Linked DNA regions of Neurospora crassa OR74A. The protein of the gene in region 2 purifies or fractionates together with the protein of the main gene of each other region. This does not show direct contact. Links are inferred from orthologs where the notes say so. Each region holds a gene or a part of one and is shown on either strand. Other genes may lie near its edges. The genes, in order: NCU09688 and NCU04121.

Evidence for each region.
Region 1: the proteins of NCU04121 (region 2) and NCU09688 purify together in Saccharomyces cerevisiae (affinity purification with mass spectrometry; 5 studies listed by BioGRID). This does not show direct contact. The link is inferred for Neurospora crassa OR74A from reciprocal best matches to the Saccharomyces cerevisiae genes APL4 and APM1.

What each region holds. Positions count from the first base shown.
Region 1 is NC_026505.1:832,558-841,380, forward strand, and holds NCU09688 (AP-1 complex subunit mu), read right to left. Parts: upstream 4,460-8,823; 5' UTR 4,068-4,459; coding exon 4,029-4,067; intron 3,948-4,028; coding exon 3,819-3,947; intron 3,682-3,818; coding exon 2,584-3,681; intron 2,506-2,583; coding exon 2,425-2,505; 3' UTR 1,999-2,424; downstream 1-1,998. Other genes in the region: NCU10659 (hypothetical protein), read left to right, coding at 69-80, 134-968, 1,030-1,205; NCU09687 (hypothetical protein), read right to left, coding at 6,102-6,300, 6,472-6,521, 6,992-7,101, 7,366-7,485, 7,622-7,646. UniProt on the Saccharomyces cerevisiae protein: Component of the adaptor complexes which link clathrin to receptors in coated vesicles. Clathrin-associated protein complexes are believed to interact with the cytoplasmic tails of membrane proteins, leading to their selection and concentration.
Region 2 is NC_026505.1:4,910,296-4,919,010, reverse strand, and holds NCU04121 (AP-1 complex subunit gamma-1), read right to left. Parts: upstream 4,941-8,715; 5' UTR 4,639-4,940; coding exon 4,629-4,638; intron 4,544-4,628; coding exon 4,420-4,543; intron 4,351-4,419; coding exon 4,162-4,350; intron 4,101-4,161; coding exon 1,982-4,100; intron 1,914-1,981; coding exon 1,827-1,913; 3' UTR 1,438-1,826; downstream 1-1,437. Other genes in the region: NCU04122 (malate dehydrogenase), read left to right, coding at 43-250, 325-925, 1,025-1,046; cmd (calmodulin A), read right to left, coding at 6,552-6,586, 6,650-6,862, 6,923-7,048, 7,230-7,245, 7,359-7,415, 7,568-7,570; NCU04119 (SNARE complex subunit), read left to right, coding at 8,507-8,529, 8,598-8,715. UniProt on the Saccharomyces cerevisiae protein: Adaptins are components of the adapter complexes which link clathrin to receptors in coated vesicles. Clathrin-associated protein complexes are believed to interact with the cytoplasmic tails of membrane proteins, leading to their selection and concentration.

The DNA.
Region 1 (8,823 bases), about 4.1 Mb from region 2:
AGATCTTATGGCCCAGAGATCTTCAACTTCGGTGATCCAGCCCCGGTTTCTATCAACCCACGGAGACTATGACTTCACACGTGAGTATACCAGCCTCATTCATTGCTTCGTAGACAGTGCTAACATTTCCCAGGGCCATCACGCAAGGTCCACAACCAGCTTGCATGGCGACGGCTATGGTGAACGACATCATAGAAGCAGCGGCAGAGATTCCAAGCACAAGTCATCGTCAAAGAAAAGCTCGACCGCAACCTACAACTCTCAGTTTTCAGTCGAGCCTGTGTCCTTCCTGTTCTCGGTGATTGAATACGAGGTTTCCTACGGCAACTCGCCTGCCCCCAGGGATCAATGGGACAATACTTTGCCGCCGTTGACTAGAAATGGTTACCGGCTTAACAACGAAGCGCCTGTCTTTCGGTACAGAGATGGGATCGTCTCCGAAGCCCCCGAGTATGCGTGGCGCAGGTTGGTTGAGGGCCAACCTGGCGGGATCTACAGACATGAGCATGGCCAGTTCTTGGGTCAAGCTTTCCACTACAAGGCACACAGCATATTTGCCTGCTCACCATGTCTCCCCTTCATCATTGCCGACGGAGACATATCCCTCTACAATAGCTACATGCGTAATGTGGGCGATCATGGGACCAACACCTATGTCGAAGACTCGGCCCGCTGTTGGCACATGCTACACTTCGACCACAACAATGGCATTTCCCAAGCGAATGGTGAATCGTATGGGCACCCCTGGGTTGCTGGCAGGAACCCATCATGGATGCCATCTTTGGTACCTAAGGTGTTCAGAAACCACCAAGAGCCACAGACGCTGTCTCGAGGCCTTTCTGGAGAAATCTCCATCGTAATTGGTCTCATGGCCTTTCACAGTCCACCACGCTATCCTGGTTGGGTGTTTGAACAACAGCTGTGGACGCACAACTTATGGCAAGGGCCTAGCTCAGCACCAGTATACTGTGAGCCTCTCAAGTCATCGCCCGCATTTCATTTGACGATTCAACAACTGACCTTGATTAGACCCCCCTCAAGCTGACGCAATTCCCCGCGGGTTCCTGGTCCATGTGTGTCTGGATCTCTATCAAGCTCCCGGAGTATCCCCCGAACACTATAGTGAACATTACGCAGATCAGACTGCAAGCATCAGTGAGTTTGAGGCTAATCGAGCATGGGTTCGAGATGTCGGGACCCATTGATGAGCCATCAGTCTTGTCACCATGTTGTTCTTCTTTCTTTCTTTTTCTCATGCCTTGTTGCACTTGTCTGTATCTCGATTTTCCTCTTTCATTCTTTTCTTGAGTCAGTATTCTTTGCATTTTGGTATTACCCCCGTCTGTTGCACCCATCAATACCACTCACGGCAGGCCGAGAAGTGGATGATGATCGTCTCTTGTTTACTTTACCCCTGACTGTTTACTACCTTAGTACTTACTTCCTTCTATCACGCGATGCCTGTGTCAGCCAGTCTTTTGTATATACTTTCTTTCCCCCACCTTTGCCGTAATGTTAGCCTGAAGTTGGGCTTGGACAAAGAGAGGGCTGGGCTGCTCGTCCAACCAATGTTCGGGGGCAAAAGGGGGGGAGGCCCTTTTTCATTCGGTACTACTACCTTGTGTTTCTTTATTGACTTTGCGGGCTTTTGAGCCTTATCGTGGAAATCGGTTGCATACGGTAACATAGGCCATCGAGAGAAGGTTTTTTTTTTTTTTTTTTTTTTTTTTTTTTTTTTTTTTTTTTTTTTTTTTGGCATCCTGTCTTCCTTTAACGTTGCCAGTCTCCTGTACACGTGGGGGTCTGAAAAATAATTTGTTTTCCCTTTTCAGTTCCTCCACAGTAAAGGTGGAGACGGGTGGCTATAGGCATGCCAAATCAGGACCGCCCATCAATCCATCCTTGCACTCGAGGATGACGACCCGGGCACACTGATCTGATTCACGCGTGTCCAACTTTTCCAACTTCTTCGACCACCACTTGACAGGACTGTGTTCATGCAGAAATATTATATCGAATATTGTTTGACATGGACGTCATGTTGCGGTGTGTGGCACCTACGCATCATCTACCTATAAACCAACCGCTTCTCCCTTCTACTTAGTCCATCCATGTCGTGTCAGGGCCATCATTACTATACATACGCCATAAGTCTCTTCTCTCCTTTTACCCCATCTGTACATCGGAGCCACGACCTGGGATGTCGTTCTGGGTAGGGCATATCTCGTCGACCTGGGGGCAGGGACTGAGGACAGGCCAATGTGTTCAATGAGGCAGCCAGAATTAATACCTGTTCTGCGGCCGCTCCCTTTCATGCCCCACCCAGCTGGTAGGTAAATTGTAGGTTTTCTGTTCCACGATCTGTCGTTTGTTTTGAAGAAAAAAAACAAGGCTTCTTCTTGCCCGTATCCAAGTCCTCGTCGTTCATACCGCGTCGGGCAATCTGACGGCGATATCTCCTGACTGCGTAATGTACCTGACCCAAGGCAAGGAGGGGTATTGTAGCTGTTTCAAATCGTCAGTAACTAGCAGCCACAGGTGCTAGAAGAAACATGGGTAAAGAAAGAAAAAAAAAAGTCTTACCTTTGGCTCCGTAATCTTCAAATACCGCACCTGAATCCCACTCGTGGTGAAATATGGAATCTCAAACTTGACCTGAATCGGCCTCTTGGCTCCTTTCCCGGGGGCACCGACACCACCCATACTGCCACCAAATCCACCCGTCATGCCACCGCCGTGCTCATCGTCGCCCCTCACACTAGGAAGACCCAGCTCCGCGCGCATCAAAAACTCCTTGCCGCCACCAAACTGCTTGATCTTCCACACGATGGCACTCTTCTCGGGCGCGTAGTGCACGCTCCCCACGTTCGTCCGGAACCGGGGCGTGTCGGCGTCGTCGGGGACCGGCACAATGATCTCCACGTTGTTGGCCGTCGAGCGGCGCTTGAACTGCGCGCGCGCTTTGAGCATGTACTCGATTCGCGAACCGGAGTGGGACTCGACCACGCACTCGACCCAGATCAGGGGTTTGACTTGGGTGTTCAAGCGGTACGACATGAGCTCGAACTCGCCGTCGGGCGGGATGAAGGAGATGGTGCGGTCGTTTTCGAAGCGCGACAGGCGTACGCACTGGTGGAACTTGACGTCTTCCATCTCAATGGCCTTTCCCCGCGTGGTGCGCCCCGTGGTCTCGAACATGACTTTGTCGTTTAGGCCCAGGCGCAGCTCGGGCATGCCGGAGAGGTAGCACTTCATTTTGATGGCGCCGAGGATTTCGGAGCGCAAGACGTTGCCGTTGGCCGAGACCAGCAGGTTGAGGGATTCGATCACGTCGAGGAACACTTCGTTCTTGCGGTAGCGGATGCCTTCGGATCGCCATGAGACGGCGTTGGTGACGGCGATGGGCGGGCGCGCTTGGATTTCGAGCTTGTGCGACTCTTGGGTGATGTACTCCTGCAGGATCTTGGACTCGGTCGTTTGCGGGTAGCCGAAATCCATCATCTCGTCCAGGAGCTCGTAGATGATGACGAAGTTGTCCCGGATCGATTCCTCTTCCAACGCTTTGAAGTACTCGGTGAAGACCTCGACGATCTTGTGCAGGAAGAGCAGGATCTCGGCGGCGTTGGTGTTGCGTTTTGTGAGGGCGAGAAGGTACAGGTTATTATGGCGGATGTAGAGGTACTATATATATTAAATGACCGAAGAAAGTGTTCAGCAAATCTGTGGCCCAAGAGGTTCTCGCAACAGCAGCAGCAGCAGCAGCAGCAGCAGCAGCAGCAGGGTGGACGACGACGACGACGGGCTTGTAGATAACATACGTTGATACCCTCGTGGGAAAAGCATGGTGGTACGGCGGACGACTCTTCTTCGGCTTCGCTTAATAGAATAGGGAACTTTTCGACGGCCGACATGGGAATATCACCGCGGTAGTTACGGGCAAGGAGGGTCTAAGTGAGGGCGCATTGGGCGGTCAGCTTTGGATGCTTTGCTGTGGACTTTGCGACACCACCAGATGAGCATTTTCCCACCTTGCCCTTGAGATCTAGAAAGAAAATGGCGGACGCCATGGTAAGCTGTGGTGTCTGTTGTTGTCTGAGGAGATTGAGTGTAGAGAGTTGTTGTTGTCGTCGTCGGCGTCGTGGTCGAGGAGAAGGTGTTGACGGAAACGGAGGAGGGGCACTGGTAATACAAGGCGCAAGCTACGATTAGGGGGGGTAATCGAGTATGGTAGGCGCGAGCGCCAAAAGTGAGTTCGAACTCGGTTCGTCAATGGGCTATAACATGCGCCGTAGGTGGTTGAAATCCTGTCGAGGAGCTGAGGGTCAAGAACTGCAAACAAAGTATCACAGTCGTTGTTGTTTATCAAAGGTGTAGCGCGGGCAAGCCACGATACCTATCCTGCAACTGAAGACGAGTGTGTGCAGTTGTCGCTATCAATACGTCGCGACAAGTGGTGACATGGAAGCGATGGTGCATCCAGATCTCGAAAAGCACAGGCCAAGAACACCCTGGCGGCCAGCAATGCCACTGCAGCCCAGAACAGAGCTCACAGCACCAAGCAGCAATGCCAAGCACTCGTGGTCAGCGAGCTTCCGCCCCTTTGTGACAAGTCTCGACGTGGAACCTTCTTCAGCTCCAGCTGTCGGTCAGCTGGTCCCCGTAGCCTTGCCAGGCTCGCTAAGTCACATCCACACCCAAGAGGGAAAGGCTTGGTAAGTCTTGGCAGGGTCGAAGGTGAACATTTTCCATTCCATCATGATGCTGCCATTTCATTTCCGTGACGGGAGCATCATCAGAGAATCGGGGTTAATTGGTCTCCAGTCCAGCTGCTCGAGCTCTCTAGGTCATCGTCGTCGGCGCAAGACCCAACAACTCAAGTGTTCCGATGGAAGGAAGTGGGGCAGACTTTCGACTCTCTTTCCCATCGGCCCCAGCTGAACTTTTGTCCGTCTTTCGAGAAAGAAAAAAAAAAGAAAAGGTCTGTGCTTCTCTGGCAGATCCACCCAAAATTCCTCCGCTCCTCGCAAGTATTTTAGAGAAACCCTTCCGTCGTTTTCAATCTTGCACCTTTTTCTCCTCTTTTTTTTTCTTCAACGCGTCCTCAGACAGTGCCGAACATCGCAAATGCACATCGGCTCCGGCATTCTGTCGGGGTTCGAACCGTGTCCTATGGTGATTCTGCGATTTCGCGACGCGGAGAAGAAGGGGATTGATTTCTTCAAATGGCTCCATAAGAGCTGCCCATGTATGTTGTCTGCCTTTGGGAAGATGACCAAAATTACTAGGGCGGCGTCAGAGGTTCCACACATTCCATCATCGTAGAAGTTGTTTTTTTTCTTGGTGTTTTGAACCTTTTTGTGTGTCTTGACGTTGATCGTTGTGTCGCGCGCAAAGCGCTATATTTTATTATCGTTTTACGCCGTCGGACACCCACCCACCCGTGTTGCGGTCTGTCCACGCCGGCCGGCCGGTAAATCTTGTGTTTGGGATCGGAGCAGCCATTCCTTCGTTCCTTGGCCGGAGGGGACGGATGACGGACGAAAACTTGGAAGCGGACCTGTTCAGTCGGCCCGTTGCACTCGACATGCTCTCACTCTCCGGTTGATTAGTGATCGATATCACCACACACACACTGCCGAAAGTCAATGCCGGAGTCGGTGCCGCAGTCAGGAGCGTTTCACCGGCTCAGCTCCCAAGAAACGCCAAAATCCGCACGTGATGATCAGCTAGTGCTCATGGTGCTCCCAATCCCGTGGCGCTGGTAGTGGTGGTTTTTTTCGTTCCTCGCCGGCGTGAGCCAGTCGACCAGTCGTGCCAGCCATGCCAGGCAGCTACGCAGTAGACTGATATGTGTCTCTGGACGAGACATCCCATCTCGGCAGCTTCACCGAGTCAACGTCTTTTCCCCCTTATTTTGTTTTCTTTCTTTTTTTCTCCCTCTTGTTCCTCGCTTGATTAGTGCGGCTGGACCCCTGGACCCTTATTTTCGGGGAGAGCAAGACAACAAATCCGCAACATAGGAAATTCAAATGGGAGTTTGAATGTCAGGAACGCCTACAATCACGATGTTCCGGAATGCGGATTTATCCAACAACCCGCCACTAGCGGTATTGACCGTGTCCGGAAAAGCCTGAAAGGCTGCCTGCTGGTGTGGACATTAGTCTCGCCAGTGTAGTCGTGGGGATGGATTGGTGTAGTGTAGGAGCTTCGATATGGTGCAGGGAAACAGAAAGTGGCCGTGGGAGAACCGACAGTCTTTCGCCTTGCATGTGATGGTGGATCGACAGGCTATCCCTGGGACTGCGACAAAGGGTTTGCAAACTAGACTAGTCTCTCTTCCGTTTTGGTGGCTTAGGTCCGTTTATTTTACCTAACACATGCTGGATACGATGGGCGGTTTTGCCCCAAGTCGCCAAAAGTTGCTGTCTTGGAAATAAGATTTGGTCAAAAGTACGGGCGGTAAGACGGTACGAGACTTGGAGGTGTGAACCCGCTATATAAGTTGTGATGAGCCAGTACGTCTGGTGATTGACAGTACATCAGTTGTTCAGTTGTATAGATCATCAACATCGCTGTTGGCGATCGGCAAGCACAGACAGATACCGTTGCAGTTGGCAGATGTCTGCTATTACTATATCCATGTTGCTGGAATTGTTGGGATGCAGTTAGTGAGATGATGCCGATCGTGCCGTTCGAGGCTCGTCATCATCAATTCACATGCTCTCCAAGGCCATGTTTGTGTGCTGTCTCTTTCTCCCACCCCCGTTTCGCCAGTCCCGTTTTCGTGGTATGTGGTTCCAAAAACAGAGGGCCTCACACTGTTAGTGGTACTTGGACTCGACGGCGATCGATTGTTGGTAGCCAATATTCATGGTAACGTGGTAGGATTGACGGCCAAGGGAGGGACAACAGTGCCAAAGGCAACGTTTGAAAGTCAAGAAGGGGTCAAGAGGACGAGGGATTCGCGATAGCAACAAAAACAGCAACAAACCTCACAATGAATGGCCTCCTTTGCGCCTTTACCCCCAGCCCAGCAGTACCCATTGAACCCAGCGCAGAGTTGCAGCTCGGCGTATGGGGTACATACAGCGTACATAGCACCTACATGGGCGGTATACGTAGCAGCAGCTAATGCAGAGCATCAGGGCACGTCAACGTGCACAGTTGCAACGGGTCCGCGATGGTGTCAATCATGTCTGATACCGATTGTAAAATGGCATCGCAAGTGTGATTAAGGGTCTCGTTTCTAAAGTGTTGGACTGGCCAGCAAGGCTAGTAAGATGGGGATTGTATGTGAAAACAGCTGAAAGCCACGGCAGCTATCCCAATGCGGATTGCCCAACTGGGGAAGAGAACGAAACAAACCACAGCTTCCTTGGACGTCCGGTTTGTCGAGCACAAGAGTAGAAGCAATGATTAATTCCAGCCTCGGAGATAGCTGCATCTTGTGGCCGCCTGACCTCGACGTGGCGTTGCCCTTTGGCACTAAAAAGACCAAGAAACAACACCATGGAATGTTTGTTGGGAGGAACCCACCTACAGATTCACGGCATGTATCCAATAATTCTTGGGAACGGATCCCAATTAAACCATATCCGAAAACTCGGTAGGCCCTTCTTACATAGGTAGTCGGATTGGTCTCGCATAGTCAGTCACGACATGCTTTGAAAGGAATAACAAGCTCGAACGATGATTACGGAGTCAATCGATGGGCTCATTCATGTACGAGAAAGGGTGAAAAGGTCCAGAAGTACCTCTAGGTACTAGGTAGCGCTACAAGTATGGAAGGAATTGGGGCTTGTGATTCCCACGTGCTTTTCCGCTTTGATGAGCTTCTTCCATCTCCGTTTTTCCCATTTGGCCCCCCACGGTGCAAAAAGTTCATACACGAGCATGAATACACTATCAGATGCCGCCCACTCTCCCACTGACATCTGATATCTTTGAAGCTCACATGGAAAAGAAGTTGAGACAATTCGCACAGTCCAGTCTAGTGCAACTTGAACTGAAGTAACTGAAGTATCCATCATTGACTCCAGGCCAAGACGGGCGCTACAAACCGTCCTGTCATCCCACCGTCTTCCACTAGGTAGGTACAGGGCACAAAATGTCACCGAGCGTGACTGCCAGAACATGTGAGGTGGTCCGCCCTTTTTTTTGTTGGTGAGTGTTTAGGTCCTCTCCCGTCTTCGTCGAATCCTTCCTTCATGTTTCCGGGGCATGTTTCCATCCATTGGCTTTTCTTCCAACCACTTTTTAATGTTCGACACCACCACCACGCCATTTTTACCAACAACCAACTTCACCCTCACCGAACTTGGATCTTGTTGTTTTCTTGGGAGTCTCTGTTTCTTCCCTGCTACTCCGCCTACCTAACGTTTATACTAGGCGACATTCCCTTCAACAGCGATAGTGATTGAAATAGGGACCTTGTCTCAAGCATTGACAATTACCCACGATCCAATTCTTTTTCCGGTCTTGAAGTCTGCGCCTTCCCACACAGCAAGCATCCATACACCTTTTTTTTTTTTCTCTCTTTCTCTGCATCGGCAACTCCATCCGCCGCTGCGCTTCCACTTTTGCCACCTCGAAAGAAAAAAAGCCGAACCTTTTGGGCCCATCCAGTCTCAATTAAACCGCATCTACCGCACGGCGGCTCCGTTCAGAAGCTCCGACGCTTGGACACATCAGACGGGCAACATCCATACATAAGGCCAGCACGTCTCTTGTTTGGCGGCACATGTCAGAAAGCACAGCAGCGATTGCCTCGACCGATTCCACTTCGACCCTGCACGACTGAGTCGCGACTCCGCTGGAATTGGC
Region 2 (8,715 bases):
TCTTTCTCAATCACACTACACAACAACAAACACAACATCACAATGCGTGCCTCACTATTCCTCTCGGCGCTCAGCGTCTCCTCCATTATGGCCGCCCCACTACTCCCTGAGATCAACGCCCACTCAGCTCCCGCCGACTCCCTCAAGAAAATATCAGAGTACTTCAACCTCCTCGCGGTCAAGATCCAACAAAGCAAGTTCGAGAGCGCCGTACCAACATGTGATCTCTCCAAGGTGGTCATGCCCCAAGGTAAGCCTCTCAGCCCATCCCCTCTCATTCACCTACCTGAGCTCATACTAACAAAAATCTCACCCTCTCTCCAGCTCCCTCTCCCCTTCCACCTCCTTCCTTCGGCCTAACCCTCCGCCACGTCGCCCTCGGCCGTGGCACCCAAAACTACACCTGCGACCCTTCCACCCCCACCGCGGCTCCCGTCGCCAATGGCGCCGTCGCCTCTCTTTTCAACGCCTCCTGCATCGTCTCCGCCTACCCCGACATCGGCGCCATGTTGTCCACTGTCTCCCTGAACTTCAACCTCTCCGACCTCGCCTCCATCGCTTCCTCCGTCGCTTCCGCCCTCCCTTTCCCTCCTTCTTTTCTCAAACAGACCCTCGCGCCCACCTCCGGCATGGCCGTCTCAGGCGCTCACTACTTCACCAACGCATCCACGCCCTTTTTCAACATGGATGCCTCGCAGTGGAAGATTGGTGAGGCGCCGTGTGCCAAGAACAGCAGTACGCCTGCCCCAGAAGCGGCGCCGAGGGGCCAGCAAGGGGAAAAGGCGGTTGCTTGGTTGAAGTTGGTTACACGCCCGGGAGCGACGGGCGGACTGCAGGAGGTGTATAGGGTAGAGACGGCGGGAGGAAGCGCGCCCGAGACGTGTCAGGGGATGCCGGAGCATTTCGAGGTGCAGTATGCTGCTCAGTAAGTCTTTTTTTTTTATCTATCCCTTCAAAACTACCTCATGAAAACTTTGTAAACAAAGACGGGACGGGATGGTGGCTAACATTGTTGGAAAAATAGGTACTGGTTTTATGGCAACTAAAAAACTCTTCTGGGATGTCACTCAGTGACTGAATATCGGATGTGGAAAATCAAACCAAAAACAAGCACCAAAAAAAAAGATACCATGTATTTTATGGAGGAGGCATCTTCTTCTTCTTCTTCTTTTTGTTTCTTTTCTCTCCTTTGTCTTTGTTTCTCAACAATTTTTCATGTGCAATCACTTGCATATTTATACCTACCTACACCACAAAGAGGGCGTTAATGGCGGCGCCAAACAGGCACATTGTGTTGGATAAATGACAGATGGATAGCACGAGCTATGGATATAAAACTCTTGTTAGTAATACCGGGCTGACTGCCTGATCATCAACCATGGTCGGAAGAGGAAAGGGTGAGAGATTGCTGGACTTGAGTAGTGGGAGATGAACAAATAAAACCAAATGTCAACAGAGGGTTGGTGCTAAAGTGATAAGCGCAATGACCGAGTGCTTACTATGGAGATTCACAGCCTTTTGGGTGAAGAGAAGGGGATAGATAGTAACTTGAAATACGCATGCTTGAGCCCTCGGCAAACAGTCTGCAAAAGAATAGTAGACTTAGTAACGATGTACGCCTTGGCAATAAATCGGCTGCTTCGTTTTGGTTTCCTCTCTATACCTTGTCCTGTTTCTTGTCGGTACTCTGTGGTCTACCCTGTAATCAAAGGGTATGTGACTTGACCATTCAATAGCTAATACGTTAACATTACGATCACTCTTTCTTCTCTCTCCCCTCTCACCCTTGCTGCCCCCTCCATAACTCATCCTTCCCCATCGTCCATTCAAGAGGGCTCCGTCCAGTTGACCAGATCCAATACCTGTCCCGCCGTAGGGTGTGTATATCCTATCTTGAGACGTAGACGCAAAGCCTGTGCACAAAACTTGTTAGCAACTTTATCTAAATATGGAAAAAGGACATAAACTGAATTGAACCTACCCCAGTGCAACCCGCGACTCTCATCATTTGCGTCGCCTCCGCCCCCGGCGCAATATCCGTCGACGAAATATTGAGCAGCTGTAGCTTCTGAGATTTGGGCACCGCCGCCTGCAACCCGACAGCCGAAAGCGGACCGCCAGGGAACGAGTTGCGGAAGCGAGCCGTAGCCTGGATCATGCCTTCGGCATTTCGCTGTATTTGGATGGTGACGTTCAGTCCGTTGTTGTCGTAGCAAGCATGGCCGGCCGCAGCAGCGGGCTTGGGCGCCGCTTGAGGAGCCGGAGCCGAAGCGGCGGCCGGAGTGGTGTTGAAGAGATCAAGGACTGCTGATGGAGCAGCCGCTGGTGCAGGTGCGGGAGACGGAGTGGAGGTAGGTCCCTGCGAAAAGAGATCCATGATCGAGGCAACGTTTGACTGTGCGGGAGCCGGCGAGGCCGAGGTCGGAGGCGAAGTGGTGCCGCCGAGAATATCGGCAAGGAGGTCGGCATTGTTCGTCCCGCCGTTGGGAACAGAAGGAGACGGGAGATTGGTGTCTCCCATGAGGTCGAATAAGAGATCCTCTTCCTTGGGCTTGGCAGCCTTGTTAGTCTTCTTGCCCGCCGCCTTGGTGGTCTTCTTGGCAGCTTCACCAAGTACTCGGGAGGACTCCTTGATTTGAGGAGGAGGCATCTTCTCAAGCACACCACGACGGATCTGATCAAAAGAAAACAGGTTGCCGTATTCCACCGCACGCTGTTGAACTTCGACATCCAGACTTGTCTGGTGGTACTGAAGCAGACGGCGAACTCTCTCGATTTGGGTTGCGTCTTGCAGCCTAGTGGTGAGCTTGATGAGTGCCGTGATGATGTACTCGGTGGTGACTTGGGTAGCGTAGTTGCTGTTCAAGATGGTTGTGAACAAGTCGATAAGTTCATGCTCCTTGACCTCCTGTACGAGCTCCTCCTCCTCATACTGACCACCCCTGAGAAGAGCGTCGCCATATTCACCGATGCACCACGCGCCGGCCTGCGTCAGACTTTCTTGGGTGATATCCTTCTTCAAGTTGGTGTAAAGCTTTTGCACGGCGTACGTTTGTAGCTCGGGAGTCGTAGCGATAAGGCGAATGAACGAGGACAGGATGGGCTCCTTGACGTAGTTACCGGCCAACGTCAAGACACGGAGCATCGTATCGACATGCCACCTCTTGTTCGGGGCGTACCTATCAGCGGCGATACCGATCTGGCTAGTCATATTAGGCTTAAACTCATTATCCGCCACTTCCAGGAAAGCCAACAATTCTCGGATAAGGACGCGGACGTTGCTCTCGTTGATTAGGGTGAAACTCAGATCAAGAGCTCTCCTCCTGATACTGATGTCGGGGTCCCTAAGGCACTCCAAAATGGTGTTCCGGTGTCTTTGTACAGCGTTGGTGTCGATGGCCACCACCTTGACCAGCGTGTTTAGCGCAACATAACGGATATTGTTGTCCTTGTTAGCCAAGAACTTGCCGAGGATGTTGACTCCCAGCACGCGCAAGCCGGCATCGGCCTCGATATCGAGAATCGTCAGTACGGCCTCGTAAAGGATCGAGTTGCCAACGTTCTTAGTAGCGTCGGTGTTGGTCGCAACCTGAGCGAGGATATCGTTGATCTGCTCCGTAGTCTGAGCATCGCCGCGGGCCAGGACTCGGAGAAGGCGCAAAATCTTGACCTGCAAGAACGGGTCGGTGATGCCCGTAACGTCGTGCTCCGGCGCATAACCGGAAGAAGCCAGTCCTTTGAGAGTCCTCACGAGTACCGGCACGAACTGCCTGAACTTCTCAATGATGCCCTCTTCCCCACCCTCGGCCTCGTCAGCTTCACAAAGGCTGGTCACCAATGTCAAGCCGCAAAGCAACACGCCATGGTTGCGATCCGATAGTAATTGCGCCGCCTTCTCGACAAAGTGTTCTTGGAGATCCGGGACCTTTTTGCATATGCGCATCGCACACAGAGCTGCCTTGCGCCGGATGTATGGGTTTGTCGTCGATATAAGTGTTTCGATTTGGGGAAACAGGTCTCTAGACATCTCGACCGATGCGATGTTTCCGAGGGTGCAGAGGGCGAGGCCCACCACATACTGATTCGAATGGTTAAGATCACTGTCGAGCCGAGCGTCAGCATCACGTTGCGCACCCATAATCGTCTTCCTGGGCACCATACTTTTGCAATGAGTTGGTAACCAGAGTAAGCACTTCCTGGTTTTCGTCGAGCAGCAAACTTGTCGCGAGATGGCCCAGACGCTTGTCGGCGAAGCGCGGAGAGGCCAGGAGCTTCAAACACTCGATCTGACCGAAGTGAGTGCGCTCACCGAGGGTGAAGAGGTATAATAGCTTGGCCACATTGTTGCGCCTGCAATGACACAGTTGATCAGCAAACCGAGATCCCGGGGAAGCTTGGGTATTGGCAGCTCAGATGCACCTGACGCTGTGATCGTGGCTCTCCTCCCTGAAGCTGGCCCTTATGGCGGCGCTCTCTTTCTGGATTACGGCTCTCTCGTCGGCGATGGTCTTTGCGGCTCGGACATTGCGAATAAACTGCTTGACTGTTTGCCGATTACAAGCGTCAGTTTTGGCCTCGTCCTGGTCGCTCGAGGCTTGGGACCATGGCGATGCCGGTGGCTCACTTACGGGAACTCATGGCGATGCAATCATTAGGGGCCCGCAAGGGGGCCTGTCTAGGGGATCTGGACCAGAGAGGAAGTGGTAGCGGATGCTTGAGCTCTCGAGATGGCGGGGGAGCTGCGGAACGGAGAGCGGATGGCGGTTCTTTGGAATTTCAAGCAAGGGGTATCCGAAGAAAGTAGAGGCACGCAATGGACAAAGTTACGATACGGTAAAGCAGCGGTACGTAGACATTCATGAGAGAGGATCATCTTTTTGGGAACCCGGCCGAAACACGACAAGTGGAAGCCCAGCACACAATGGGCGGGCGTGCGATGTGGCCATGGAATGCGCTTATTGGAGCTCCTCTTGACCGTGTGTGTCCACCCCCCACCTTGACTTGACCTCTCCCAGCCCGCTCCCAGCCCCAGGCAGACGGTGACGGTCAGCACCACGGCAGCAGTAGATACCTAGGTAGGTACACTAGAGGTAGGTACTACAGTACTGGGACTCGTGGCCTCAGGCAGGCACCTCTCTGCTGCAAAGCTTCCCGGCAACGACGCGACGGCAGGCGCCAAACTCTCTGAAAAGCATGGACCTCAGGGACCCTGGACAGGTCACGGTGCTGTTCCTCAGCTGCGATGCAACGACTCGGTACGGCGGGAAGGTGGGGCCTAGACCGTCTTGTCAGGCACCCTGACGGCCTCGCCGGAAAAGGGGTAATCAGGGTTAGGGTCAAAATGATGAATGTCCTGTCCGAGACCAGCCACAGCATCAGACATTGCTCTTCTTGATACCTACGTAGGGCGGCCTTATCTTGTCACCGCTTAGATCTGTGAGGATGAAAGATGAATAAGAGCATGAGTTCCGTCAAGATTTGCATGAGACGCCGGCGATTTGTTGAAGAAGGAAGGCTAAACACATGTAAAGCTTGTTCAAGTCCTGAAGAAAAGTTAATAGGCTACTCATCATCACCGTCAGTGCTGATTCTGTACTGGACCAGTCCTGAACACATCGAGCATGAGGGCGACAGCAATGCTTAACTATTTGCTTTTCAACAAGACAGCAATGAGCGTTTGTCAACTGACAAGCTCGGCCATATGACAATTGACTGTGCGAATACTGTATCATCGAGCTTCAGTTTTGGGGAACATGCGGTTCATCTATGGTCACAATACTGATGAAATTGACGAGGGCATCACAAGCAGCAAACAGCCTCAGCGCAACCTACAGCCATCACTGACCGACAATGACCTGATCCTCCATACATCAACGGTGATCGGGAGATGAGTTGATTTTCTAGATGCTGTGCCGTACGGATGTGTACGATATGGAAATCCCTATAGGGCTGATGATATCCACATATTCGGCCTGGGCTTGATGGTTGATGTCGCTAGGCAACACTGCCACAATCATCCTGCAGGTCATCCCCACTCGTTGACAGGTCTCCGGTCTTGCTGGTGGTCCCTGATGACGTGAACTCAGCAGCTGTGCATTTGAAAAGTTTATGTAGCAAACAGTAGGGTTTCATCTGAACCTCCGGACGGAAGTGCTCCTTTGCTCATGTGGTACAGCTTCCACTTGGGAGACAACACCGTGGGTAATGGCTCCTCACTAGCAAAGGCGGAGTAAGATTTGATTGATAACTGCTTTGGAGACGAACCGCCACGGACACAAAGTCAAACGGAGAGAAACTTGAGGTGCTAGCGTCAATCCATGTCAACTTCACCCCATTGCTTCCCGAACTCGGTGGTTTGAGGCAGGAGGAGAGGTAACAGTCCAGCATAACGCGCAACCACGAGAACACAGGTGATCCTTGCATAACATACCAAGCGTGGGAAACAAAGCGATCCCTTCACATCCGAATGGAGGCATATCAACTAATAGTGGTATTCAAAGAGAACGCTAAAACCTGTCTTCGTGTAGAGTTGGAATATAGGAGAAAGCCGTTTACTTCTGCATCATGAGCTGGACGAACTCGTTGTCTGTTTGGAAACAAGGTGTTAGTAAGCTATACCCAGGCTGAGTCGCATGAATTGAAGACGTACAGTCGATACGCCCATCGCCGTCCTGGTCGGCCTCACGGATCATCTCATCAACCTCGTCATCAGTGAGCTTCTCGCCGATGGAGGTCATGACGTGACGGAGCTCGGCAGCGGAGATGAAGCCGTTGTTGTCGCGATCGAACACCTTGAAGGCCTCACGGATCTCCTCCTCGGAGTCGGTATCCTTCATCTTTCTGGCCATCATGGTAAGGAACTCTATAGGCTATTGTCAGCGGCGAGCTGGCAGGTCCATAGTCCGAAATGTTTATATCATACCAGGGAAGTCAATGGTGCCGTTGTTGTCGGCATCGACCTCGTTGATCATGTCCTGAAGCTCAGACTCGGAGGGGTTCTGGCCCAACGAGCGCATGACGGTACCGAGCTCCTTGGTGGTGATTTGGCCTAGCTGCTGTTCAGTATGCGTGCATTACGGTAGGGCTCGTATTCACATCGCAACTCGGTTCAGGGGCGGGCGGTGAGAAGCGTTGGGTGCGTCGCAACTACTATGATCCAAGGCGCTTGCCGCTAACTTGGTGGTGGATGAATTCGGATATCTGGGGGGGTAGGGTTTCGGAAGACTAACCATCACCGTCCTTGTCCTGTGTCACGTTGTGTCGGGTCAGTCATCAGGCTCGCACGATTTGCGCCAAACGGCGACACAGGGGATTGAGCATAGGCGACAAGGAAGCTCGGCGCAAGAAAAACAACTTACAAAAAGGGAGAAGGCCTCCTTGAACTCAGAGACCTGCTCTTCAGTAAGGGAGTCCGCCTGTTGTTGATAGCCTTGTCAGTCACCCGTCTCCTTTCCAGCCATCATCGTATGTTCGCAGCCCGGCCGCAGCCCCTCGAGCTAACCCGCGGGGTTCTTGTTGCGCTCAAACAGATTCGACCGGGAGGCACCGAGATAAGGAATGAGCATACCATCTTGATATAGTATTAAGGGGTGGATAGAGGGTCTGGGGAGAGCGAGCGTGTGAGATAGTTGGATGTGTTCGAAGGAGGATTTCGAAGGTGTTCTGGTTTGGAAGTGGTAGATATGGAGGTCCCCCAGTAGAAACGAACGAGACCCGTTGGCTACCTACCAGGTAGGTCCAAGTCCCCGTTCTCCTAGTTCGACGTTCCTTAAATGAGCAGCTGGGCCGCCGATTGCGAAGCATGGAGTGGAGGGAGGCGGGGCGGGGTCCCTCCCTACCTAACTGTAACACACTCGCTAAAATGAGACTAAAACTAAAGATGCCCTGGAGCCCATCCCGGCGTCTCGCAGGTGCTGCAACCTACCTGGAACCTCTGCATGGGATACATCACCACTGGAGGTGTAGGTCGTCAGCCCCAGCCCAGGACAGACGGGCCAGACTGTTAACAGGCTGAAAGCTCCCGTCCCCCAGGCTGCCAGCTGACCGACTCTTTGAGACACTGACAAAGGCTACCCCTTATTGGCGGGCCCCAAGTGCCTGACAGGTGACATGCATCCCATGTTATTCATGCCCCCCATCCCTGGAACTGGCCAGCATTGTGTTTCTGAACCGCCGCGTCAGCGTCATTGTCAGTGGTAGCAGCTGCCCAGTGCTACTGGCCCTGTTGCTGTTATTACATAGGTAGGTAGGTAGTGAAAGAGAGAGGCCTAGAAACATTTCCCCCCGGGAAGATCGACCAGGGACGGAGACATTGGCAACTCAACCTCGACCACATACACAGCCGTGTCCATGCGATGCGATGTGATGCCATACCCATTCCAATCCGCCTCTGGACCGCCATTACCACTAACTACCATCAATTGACTCTCACCTCTGACCGAGACGACGACTAGCCTTCGGCGTGCAACCGAGGTGAAGGGAGCCTTTCGCCCTTCCGGCGTCCGCCATGTGGCGCGACCGCACTAATCTGTACGGGGAACTCTCTTGAACCCCCCGGAGATGAGAGTCGTTCGTTAACATCCATGTGACTATCACAGCTATATCTCGTACCGGCAGTCCTACGCCCACCACCCGACCCAGCGCAACCGATATGCCCCTCAGAACCCAGGCGACCGCTTCGGCGGGACTTCCGGCGGGGCTGGCAGCAGCACGGGG